2 linked regions of the Saccharomyces cerevisiae S288C genome follow. The protein of the gene in region 1 interacts with the protein of each later gene in a pairwise test. Each region holds a gene or a part of one and is shown on either strand. Other genes may lie near its edges.

Region 1 (7,436 bases):
GGAAGCTTTCGAGTTTCATAGAACATATCTGGTGAATGTATATGAGTTTTTCATTCCTTTTACGAGACGCAACTTTCCGCGGTTACGGAACTGTTGTTTTGTTTTACATCTTTTCATTTTTCATACATTTTATTGAGGCGTAGAAATGAAATGGGTAGAGCGGCACATGGATGTAACAATCTCCATTATTCACGTCGAGCCGATACCCGCTTCTGTTGACGCTCTGTTAAGCATAGAACCTACGAGATTTGTGCTAAAGGACGTTGGCAAGGAAGAAAACTATTGTTGATGACAGGATTTATAGCAGTAAATATTTTTTTCTTTTTTGCGAAATTATGTACGTTTCTCATCCAAGAAGAATCCTGTTAATATTTAAATTTCTGCTAGTCATTATCATATTGCAATGGCTTTTATTAGTGAAAGCCACTGTCAACAGTAACTGAGCTACTCCCTCCAATGTTGTCTAACTCTATGCTCTTTTTGGCGTCTGAATGAGCCATAACGAGGGAAATAACTGTATCAGGAATACTAACAGAATACAGATTGGATGCACTGGTGCTGGTGAGTTTTCTTTTTCTGATATTATTGGATAATATTTTCAGCTATAGACTATCATCATTCAGCATTGGTCACGCTAAAATATACGTTCCATGCATACGTGATAGCCTACTCGGTTGTCAACTTCATTTTATAGGCTGCCTGGTCACCGATTACCGCCCCGCTCAGCAGGACGGTTTAAGCTTCTGTTCTTGGAAACGACGTAATTCATGTCGGCCATCGAAATCATTCCTGGCTTTGTAATAGTCATAATGAACAAGGAATGCTGTCTTGGGTTTTTTTCCCTTTGCGAATACCCGGGCTGCCAAAATAGAAAAGGAACAAATGGTAGGTCTTTAAGATAAGAAAGATAAGATAAGACATCTTTTTTTTTTTTTTTTTTTTTTTTTTTTTTTTCCGATAACAAAGAAGAATCCTTCGGTCTCTTCTTACTGCTGTTACTGCTTATCAAGAGTGTCTGGTAATAGTCAAAGCCAGATAAGATAAGAAATGTAAAATCGACTATTTCCCTCGTAAAAAGCTTCAATTGCTCACGCATCGACGAATACTAAGCGGCGTGAAGACCCTGTGCCTTATCAATGAAGTATTCAGTACAAGAGGTGTTCATTCCGAGCCACTTTTCTGCACCATATATAAGCAGTAGTTACACATGTGCTAACCAAACATCAGTGGGTAGTAATCATTCGTGCTTTCACGTCCTTTCAAATTAAATATCCTTCTTAAATAATAAGTCTGCACAGAGCTTTGAAAGAAGTTTAGTTTTGTAATATATCATACTTAATATATTACAATACAATATCAACAATGTCTTACAATTTTACAGGTACGCCTACAGGCGAAGGAACGGGTGGTAACTCGTTGACAACAGATTTGAATACACAATTTGACTTGGCCAACATGGGATGGATCGGTGTGGCTTCAGCAGGTGTGTGGATTATGGTCCCAGGTATCGGTTTATTATATTCTGGTTTATCCAGGAAAAAGCATGCTTTATCCTTGCTTTGGGCCTCGATGATGGCTTCCGCCGTGTGTATTTTCCAATGGTTTTTCTGGGGATACTCATTAGCTTTCTCACACAACACTAGAGGTAACGGTTTTATTGGTACCTTGGAATTCTTTGGGTTTCGTAACGTTTTAGGAGCCCCATCTAGTGTCAGTTCTCTTCCCGATATACTGTTTGCCGTTTACCAAGGTATGTTTGCCGCAGTCACCGGTGCCCTAATGCTAGGTGGTGCCTGCGAGAGGGCAAGGTTGTTTCCTATGATGGTGTTCTTGTTTTTATGGATGACTATTGTTTATTGTCCTATTGCATGCTGGGTCTGGAATGCCGAGGGTTGGTTGGTCAAATTGGGTAGCTTGGACTATGCAGGTGGTTTATGTGTCCATTTAACATCTGGACATGGTGGTCTAGTTTACGCTTTGATACTGGGTAAGCGTAATGACCCTGTTACACGTAAAGGGATGCCCAAGTACAAACCACATTCCGTCACCTCGGTGGTTTTAGGCACAGTGTTCTTATGGTTTGGTTGGATGTTCTTTAACGGAGGCTCTGCAGGTAATGCAACTATACGAGCATGGTACTCTATTATGTCCACAAACTTAGCTGCTGCTTGCGGTGGCTTGACATGGATGGTTATCGATTATTTCAGATGCGGAAGAAAGTGGACTACAGTTGGTTTGTGTTCAGGTATCATCGCTGGCCTAGTGGGTATCACCCCAGCCGCCGGGTTCGTGCCAATCTGGTCAGCCGTTGTCATTGGTGTGGTTACTGGTGCAGGATGTAACCTTGCTGTTGACTTAAAGAGTCTATTGCGCATCGATGATGGTCTAGATTGTTACTCTATCCATGGTGTGGGTGGTTGTATTGGTTCTGTATTAACTGGTATCTTTGCTGCAGACTATGTAAATGCCACTGCAGGCTCTTACATTAGTCCAATTGATGGTGGCTGGATCAATCATCACTATAAACAAGTTGGTTATCAATTAGCAGGTATATGCGCTGCACTAGCCTGGACTGTTACTGTCACATCTATCTTGCTTCTAACTATGAATGCCATTCCATTTTTAAAACTAAGATTAAGTGCTGATGAGGAAGAATTAGGTACCGACGCTGCTCAAATTGGTGAATTTACATACGAGGAATCCACTGCTTACATCCCAGAACCAATCAGATCTAAAACATCGGCACAAATGCCACCTCCTCATGAAAACATTGATGATAAGATTGTGGGTAACACAGACGCAGAAAAGAATTCTACGCCTTCCGACGCTTCTTCTACTAAGAACACTGACCATATAGTATAATGATATACTCAAGCAGACTATGATTTTATGTTTAATCTTTATGTAACGCTTCATTTAATAATTTTATTTTTAATATTTGATATATTTTCTTTTTTTGATAACTCCGAATGATGAGGGGAGACGTTAGTATTACTTCTCTTGTCTTATGTTATTATCATAATCGATGACTTTAACTGTGCACACTATAATATACAGCATCTCCAGAGCATGATAGCAAGAAATTTTCTTTAAGAAAGCCTCTATATACCCTATATATGCTGTTAACAGGAAAAGAGCACAAGGTTTATTTTGCTTTGGTTGCAAATTTTCATCGCTTATAGAAGACATATTTTGATGTAAAAACCTTGATATACTTCCTTTTTGCCTTATCTTTCACTGTTTCCATCTCTTTTCTTTTTTTTTTTTTTTTTTTTTTTTTTTTTTTTTTTTTTTTTTGAATCTTAAAATTCTCGAAACTGCACTGAAATGGCGCAGGAAACTGACCTCATCGCATGCCAACGAAGATTGAAAAAAATTAACATATAAGGCTTATGAAAGCGACATCTTTTGCAAATGAATAATTGACAAGCAGGCCTGTGTATTTATAGTTATTTTGAAATAATAACTACCATTAGAACTAACAAAAGAAAAGAAAAAAAAAATAATGGTTTCTGTGGAGTTTTTACAGGAGTTACCAAAATGTGAGCATCACTTGCATTTGGAAGGTACTCTAGAACCTGACCTATTGTTCCCATTAGCTAAAAGAAACGATATAATTCTACCTGAAGGTTTTCCTAAATCGGTCGAGGAATTAAACGAAAAGTATAAGAAGTTTCGTGATCTGCAGGATTTCTTAGATTACTATTATATTGGTACTAATGTCTTGATTAGTGAACAAGATTTCTTTGATTTGGCGTGGGCCTATTTTAAAAAAGTTCACAAACAAGGCTTGGTCCATGCTGAAGTGTTTTACGACCCTCAGTCACATACATCTAGGGGCATCTCCATAGAAACAGTCACTAAAGGTTTCCAAAGAGCTTGTGACAAAGCCTTCTCTGAATTTGGTATTACATCCAAGCTAATTATGTGTCTGTTAAGACACATTGAACCAGAGGAATGTTTGAAAACTATCGAAGAAGCTACCCCATTTATTAAAGATGGTACTATCTCTGCCTTAGGATTAGATTCTGCTGAGAAACCATTTCCCCCACATTTATTTGTTGAATGTTACGGAAAGGCCGCCTCATTGAATAAAGATTTAAAACTAACTGCACACGCAGGTGAAGAAGGCCCCGCTCAATTCGTCTCGGATGCTTTAGACTTGTTGCAAGTAACAAGAATCGATCACGGTATCAACAGTCAATACGACGAGGAGTTATTGGATAGGTTGTCGCGCGACCAGACCATGCTAACTATTTGTCCTCTCTCCAACGTGAAGCTACAAGTAGTCCAATCCGTTTCAGAGTTACCACTACAAAAGTTTCTTGACAGAGATGTTCCATTTTCTTTAAATTCTGATGACCCCGCCTATTTTGGTGGTTATATCTTAGATGTCTACACTCAAGTTTCGAAAGATTTCCCACACTGGGACCATGAAACATGGGGTCGTATCGCTAAGAACGCCATTAAAGGTTCATGGTGTGACGATAAAAGAAAGAACGGTTTGTTAAGTAGAGTGGACGAAGTAGTCACTAAATATTCGCATTAGTACCATTTGCAAGACATTGTATAATATTTTTGTTGAAAGTCTTTTTCGATTCATAAGCGCTTTTTTGTAAATTTATAACACTATGTGTATGCACAAATTTCATTCGATGTTTTTGATGCTTTTTACATCCCCTTTTGTGTGGGAAAGGATACAATAGAATTCTACAAACTTATTTGAGTGATTATACGAGCATTAGCTGGACCTTTTGTATTTCACGAGATTACAATTCGGGAACTATCAAAGTACACGTTAAAATTCAGCTCGGGTATGTTAAGTACTAGTAATTACCTCTGGTACCTACTGACGTAATTCCCACCCTTGGGACCTTGCGGAAGCGCCTGAGTATTGCTCTTTCTATTTCCGTTGTACCTTTGATTTTCATTGGCTCTATGGGCAGCACCGCTATCTCGTGTATTTCTATAATCTTGCGTTTGAAATTTGTTTCTAATTGTTTCATCCTTCTTGAATCTTTTATTCGGCTTTTCTTCATTTTCTGAAGGCGAGTCGCGCTTGTAAGATGAAGCTTGGTAAGGGTTGGCTTTGCTGCTGTCTTTGCCCTCTTGAAATGGCTTTTCAGGAAACCGTAATTGTGAACGTTGTGAACTGTTTTTCTTATACTCTTCACGTAAGCGGTTATCCCTTTGATCAAAACCATCGCCCCTGTCCGGACCTGTGGGTCTAAGTGCCCTACTTCTATCATTATATGTTTTACTTTTACTAGGTCTAGTTGGTAGTTCTGACCTTTTATGTGCATAACTACTGATTGGCTTAATATTTTTGGGTGCAGAACGATCATTGCTTGGTCCTCTATAGTTGGAACTACCATAACCATCTTTGCCTCCAGCATTTCCGCTGTACCTACTTGATCTTTTGGTATATTCAGGAGCAGCAGCTTCAGAATATGAGCTAGTCGTATCTGGGTATGGCTCGCGCGAGATATTTTTAATATACCTTTTAAGCGAATCAATTTTTTCTGCAAAATCTGGATTTTGAGGATTTTGAATGAGTGTCCTAAAGTACCTTTCGAATATTTCCAAAGTCGAATTTCTAAAGTCGAATATTGGCATATTTTGCTTAGATAATTTCCTTAAATTCCGAGTTTCATCGTCGTTCTCTACTAAGGAAATTGCCTTTTGTAAATGGTTCGTGGCCAAATAATGGTTTATATCGTCGACGTGCCTGGTGACTTTGGAATATGACCATTGACTACTAGAAGGTTTTGTTGGGATTACAGGCTCATTACGAGAATAAGTATATCTATCCTTGCTATTTAATCCAGCACTGCCGCTTGCAACACTTTTGGGTGGATCATTTTGAAGTCTTTGCGACTTATTAAGCTCTAACTGCTTTCTTAAAGCTACTTGCTTTTGTTCATTTTGGCAAGCTGTTTCATAATTTTTGATCTCTTCTAATTCCATTTCACGTATTCTCTTTTGTTCAGCTTCCTCTTCAGTTAAGGTGCAGAATTCGTCCAATTCTAAAGCGTCCTTCAAACGCGCTTTCAAATGGCCAATCAATGCGCTGCTTGGTAGTTTAATATCCTCCCTTTCTTCATTTATCAAGTTTTCCTCTAAAGTTGTGTAAACCAACTGGATATGAGCTTTCACTACAGGGAAGACACTAGTGACGTGCTTCATGAATTCAATACCGTTTCTAATTGACATGTAATTTTTTTCGGATAAAAGGTCAATGACTTGCTCGGTAATTACTGAATGCCATTCATAAAGCTTTCGAGAAGCTTGGTCGTTGAAATCGCCATTTAATCTCATTTTTTCAAGCTTTTTAAGAACGTCAGTGAAAAACAGACCTAAATTGCCTGCTTCAGAGCTAGTACAACAGAACAGCAACGTTTTTAAAATATTTGATGTAATACAAGTATTCAATATCGACATCAAATTTTCTGTCCTAAAAGCCATAAAGATAAAAAACGAAGAGAAGAGAGCATCTGAAGGAGAAAATAAAACCCTTGGCACAACACAATTCTGCAAGAATATCTTAATTTGATCTTCCCCGCAGTCTTTGTTCCAGACATTTGATTTTTCAGATATAAATTCTGAAGTTTTCTTGAAGGCTCTTTGATGCGAAATTCCAGTAACCAAAATATCCTTGATTTGATTCTGAATCAGGTGTTTTTTTCTATTTGACATGTGGCCCGTGTTTTCTCCGGATAGTGCATTCTTACGCTCGTCATATAGTGATTTATCGAAATGGATATCGTATAATGAAAGTCTCCAAAAAGTAGTGAAAAGATCCTTTGATATTTTCGTTAAATCAACATCGCTAAACTCTGCACCTTCAATTAATTCATCAATAGAAAAATTCTCATTTGAGTTCAATTGATTATCCAAGTAGTCTCTCCATATGTGGAAAGTCCACGGTGTCGATAAATGGAACCTATTATTCAATTCTACAAATGGGAGAACATTCTCTTCAAATGCTTTCCCTTTCAAACAATGTTTAATTAACTCAATAAACGACCATAACAATGTATTCATTTCATCGCATCTAGTGGATAAAATTTTGTAATGAGAATTTTGCGTATTTGCTTTCAGGTTTAAAGTGTATAACAGGAGAATAATCTCAGAAATAGCGCTCTGATCAGTGAAAAATGAGGTTAGCCTCGACGAAATAACCGAATTATCATCTCTAAAATCATATATGAGATGTCTTGCATATTGCTTTAATGGTGATCCTGAGTTTAACATTAATAGTTGCTTCATATTAACTTCGTTTAAGTCTCTAATGCCCCCGACTGTAATAATTAATTCCTTTAGGATAGAAACTGCTATGATATTCCCATTATGCAACGTCTTTAAAATATAGGTGATTATATTTGAGATATCCATATTGGGACAATTTTTGGCCAAACCTGCAATAAATATTGATA
Region 2 (4,388 bases), on another chromosome or scaffold:
CTAACATAAGGGACAAGTTAAGAATGAAGTTTGACCCCATAAATTTCGCCACTGTAGATGAAGAAGACGATGAAGACGAGGAGCAACCAGAAGACGTTAAGAAAGAATCGGAAGGCGATTCAAAAACAGAAGGTTCTGAGCAAGAAGGAGAAAATGAGAAGGATGAAGAAATCAAACAGGAAAAAGAGAATGAACAAGATGAAGAAAATAAACAAGATGAAAACCGTGCAGCTGATACGCCCGAAACTTCAGATGCTGTTCATACTGAACAAAAACCAGAGGAAGAAAAGGAAACTTTACAAGAAGAATAGAATATTGAGAAGTGAAGGGAGATTGATTTTAAACCTGTAGTTCTTTTTACATTTGTTTGGAAATAAAAAAACCAAAGTAAATATTATAAATATGTATTAATAAAATATGCATTACCTCAATGTAGAAGAAAAAGATAGTGAGCACCCAAACGGAATCCAAAATGCAAAATCGAAATGACACCTAAAAATTCAATGCTTCTTGATGATTAATGCACCGGTTTGCCAGCCACCAGCAGTTACACTGACACAAATATAATCTTCAGGTAGTTCTATTTTCGTGGGCTTAACGACCCTAATGTTTCTTTGCCCTTCCCAATTGCCAATATGTAGCTCGTTAACTATTTTTTCAGAAGGGCCCAATCCTAAGCACCCACAATCCTGACTTTCAATACCCCATGAATACAAATGACCGCGTTCGGTTAGTGCCACCGTGTGATAGTCACCACTTGCAACGGAGATAACATTTTCATTGATGTCTAGCTCCGTTAAACTATCTTTATCGACATCTCCATTTGTTACTTTCAAAGTATAACAGTGAGTATCGGTGAAGAGGACTAATGAAGCAAAACAGGCGTTAATTTTGCACAGTTTTCCGACAATATTTAAATCTACTATCTGGTTCAGTCCATTGTGGTACTTCCATAGTTTATCGCCGTTGTTATTAATGAAGAAAACGCAGTTATCTTGTAAACATGCAAAGTCGACAATCCTGGAGTCTCCATTAACATCATTCGTATTCGGGACAATCTCGTATTTTGCAAAAGCAAAGCTCTCGCCCTTTTGAATAGCATCTCTTTCTTTCCATGCAACCAACCCGACCTTATATATATAGCAACAATTGAAATTCCAACCACTAGCAATTTTCAAAATAGGATTCGTAGCACGACTAGGTAGGTTAGCAAACTCAATTTTGACACCTTGGTCAGATTCCGTTGAGTCCCAAGAATAAATATTGTTATCTGTATCCATTGCTAGGAAATGACTTCTCCCAGAGCTTACCGCGACAAATTGAATATCATTAAATGATCCTAAATTTTCATCCCTACCACTATATAATGGGAAAGAATTTCTTGCGAACATTCTCCTGATATGATTATTTCCTGGTACAGCCTTGTTAGCACTTCGTTCCAGCATTTCTATCTGGCTGTAAATATTCTCATGCGGCCCCATTGAAGGCATTGTAGTTCTAGGGACACCACTATGGCTCCCTCCGGGAGAGGCTGCAGGCGCACCTCCGCTATCTATGGTAATATGCTGAGCTGTAGTTGCATTTCCTGGTTCATAAGCAGTAGATGGATGGCTACCGCTCATTCTCCTTCCAGAAAATGTACCCGTGGTATTGACAGTACTCCCATTACTGCGGCTAGTGATCCGCGGATACGATCTTTCCATATTGTGAATCATTTCTCTGAAGGGATTATAATCATGCTGTGAACCACTGGGACCTGGTCCTTTTAACCCTCCAGAAAAAGTGGATCCGCTGCTGTAAAGGTTACCTGACTCAGTCAATATTTGGAAAGAAAAACCACCACTAGATACTTGAGCTATGATTTCGTCTCCATCCTTCTTGATGGCGCTTAACGGGTCCTCTGAAGGAGTGAAGTTACTAGTTCTAGATGTTGTCCTACTGTTAAACCAAGGAACTTCAGTGGGGGTATTGACACCATATTTGAACCGCGGACTTGGCCCGTTTAGTGAAGTGGCGACAAGTTCATTATTGGAACTCGCGGTATAGCCCAACCTTCCATGCTTTAAATAACCCCAACTATAAAACTTTGCATCATATGCCCGTAATTGGTATACTTCCTGCCATGACAAGGTGGGGAATGCTTCTCTTAAAATCGTCTCTGTGCAGGTCTTAAATTCCGCCGAATTTCGACCCTGGAAAGGCTCGTCATTTGTCTTTAATGTCCCAAATGCCTTATGAAATAGTTCATGCCACAAAATTTTAGAGTGGTCAAAATCTAGTAATGTATTATAATACTTATTTGTCTGCGAGAGGTTCTTAATATCATCACTGCTTAAAAATGGTAGCGTAGCTTGAACGATATCTGGGGACAATCCTGCGTCAGGCTCCTTTTCTCTGCTCTCAACTTCACTCATGATGTGCTTTTCCATTTATAATTGAGAGTATATCCTTTGGACAATAAAACTATACTCCAAAAAAGGGGTTGGAGCTTTTATACGCCTTTATCCATTAATCATCCGTTTGCTCAATAAAAGGGTCTCGGCGAGGCGCCCGGAAGAATCATCTAGCAATACCTTCAAAATAATACGGACATTAAATACAAATTAACTAATTATCATTAGGTAGAGGCCTACATATGCAAATTGGGTATATATTAAGCACTTTAAAATCAATTGTTTGTAGTTGTTTATAACCTATTGAATACTTTAGACAAAATCTCAGTCAAATTAGACCAATTTTTGATTCTGAGATTTTCGTTGGCTAAATGGCCATTGTCAGTGGATTGGCCACATGGTATTTGAACAGCTGGCGCGTCGAATATTCTTTCCAACATTCTCAAACATGAAATAGAACCTCCTTCTCTTACTAGCAATGGTTCTACGTCCCATGCAGTAGTAATTTCGTCCTTTAATATTTGGTATGCATGATTTGTTGGGTCACCCAACCAACCTTCTGCTTCGTTTAAAACTTTAATTTCTAGATGATTTTGAGATTTCAATTGCTTGAAACTTTCTTCTAAATACGCTTTGAGATCTCTCTTGACTTGTTCTACACTTTGCTCAGGTACTAACCTGATGGAGATACCCATGGTGACACTTTTTGGAATAACTGTTATGTTACCAGGACCGCTAAACTTGACTGTTGTCATAGACAAGGAAGGCTTAGTCCAGTTGGTAATTAAATCTTGAACAGTAGTATTTTCGTCGATATTTGCAAGCTCGGTAATTTTCTGAAACCTTTGATATTCTTCTTCAGTCAGATCTTTCAATGGTGAATAAAAATTTGGAATCATAATTTCATTTTGTTCGTTTTGTAGTTTGGACACGATTTTCACTAAATTAACCATAGGTTCATCATAAACACCACCGTTAAGACCAGAATGTCCGTCAGGCTTATCGCTCCAGACTTTTATTTGGGCATTAATAACACCTCTCAATCCATAATTCAAGCATGGATGTTCTTGATCAACCCAAGTAGAATTACTTAATAAAATCCAGTCAATATCTTTTCCAATAATATCATGGTACTTTTCACAAACTTGCTTCAAACTAGCAGATCCGATTTCTTCACTTCCTTCCACCAAAAATACGACATCGTTCACCAATTCTCCCTGTTGAAACAAATACGCCACACTATGAATAGCGCTCACCAATGGCCCTTTATTATCTGATACTCCTCGACCTTTTAAGTATCCGTTTTCACAAGTTAAAGTAAATGGGTCGGTATTCCAGTTGAAAGTATTTCCAGACGATATAACGTCATAATGCCCATACCATAGAATACGCTTTTTCTTGGCACCCTTCACCTGTGAAACTTTCCCATTCCCTTGAAAATATGCGAATACAACAGGATTACCACCATCAGGCAATGGAAATAATTGGGAGTTTGTAGCTCCAAACTTCAAGAATAATTGTTGCAGGTAGATTGCACAACGCCTTAATGACAAAGTATTAGTAGTGTCTTTGCTTTGAGACACTGTCTGGAAAGAAATAAGTTCTCTCAGTGTGTTTAACATCTCCTCGTTATTTAGAGAGGCAGATTGATAGGCGGCCCATAAATTGGTGGTTTGTAATGTAGATGATGCATTGATGGGTGAGTTGCTTGACAGAGGCACCGCAGATAATAATGAGGTTATATCCCAGAGAGTCAATGACCCATCGCTACCACCCGTTAATAAACTAACAGATCCAGCATTTGATTTACTGAAAATCTCTGAGCTTAATATTTTTCCTTGTTGAGGGTTCCAATGGTTAACTTGGTTCTGGTAAAAATGCGTGATGCCTGATTCATCAATGGCAAATACATGGTCCATATAAACTGATATTGAAATGACGTCCGATTCATGCTTTGTTTTCAGAGTTGAGATTATTTGCTGAGTATTTAAGTCC

What was found. The genes of interacting proteins can lie anywhere in the genome.
Region 2: the proteins of AAH1 (region 1) and SAF1 interact in binary tests that used the Saccharomyces cerevisiae proteins (3 or more experiments, as listed by UniProt).

What each region holds. Positions count from the first base shown.
Region 1 is NC_001146.8:356,091-363,526, forward strand, and holds AAH1 (adenine deaminase), read left to right. Parts: upstream 1-3,505; coding exon 3,506-4,549; downstream 4,550-7,436. Other genes in the region: YNL143C (uncharacterized protein), read right to left, coding at 704-1,096; ammonium permease MEP2, read left to right, coding at 1,363-2,862; YNL140C (uncharacterized protein), read right to left, coding at 4,827-5,396; THO2 (Tho2p), read right to left, coding at 4,834-7,436. UniProt on the Saccharomyces cerevisiae protein: Catalyzes the hydrolytic deamination of adenine to hypoxanthine. Plays an important role in the purine salvage pathway and in nitrogen catabolism.
Region 2 is NC_001134.8:762,284-766,671, forward strand, and holds SAF1 (SCF ubiquitin ligase complex subunit SAF1), read right to left. Parts: upstream 2,415-4,388; coding exon 501-2,414; downstream 1-500. Other genes in the region: PAF1 (Paf1p), read left to right, coding at 1-311; glutamine amidotransferase subunit DUG2, read right to left, coding at 2,687-4,388. UniProt on the Saccharomyces cerevisiae protein: Substrate recognition component of a SCF (SKP1-CUL1-F-box protein) E3 ubiquitin-protein ligase complex which mediates the ubiquitination and subsequent proteasomal degradation of target proteins.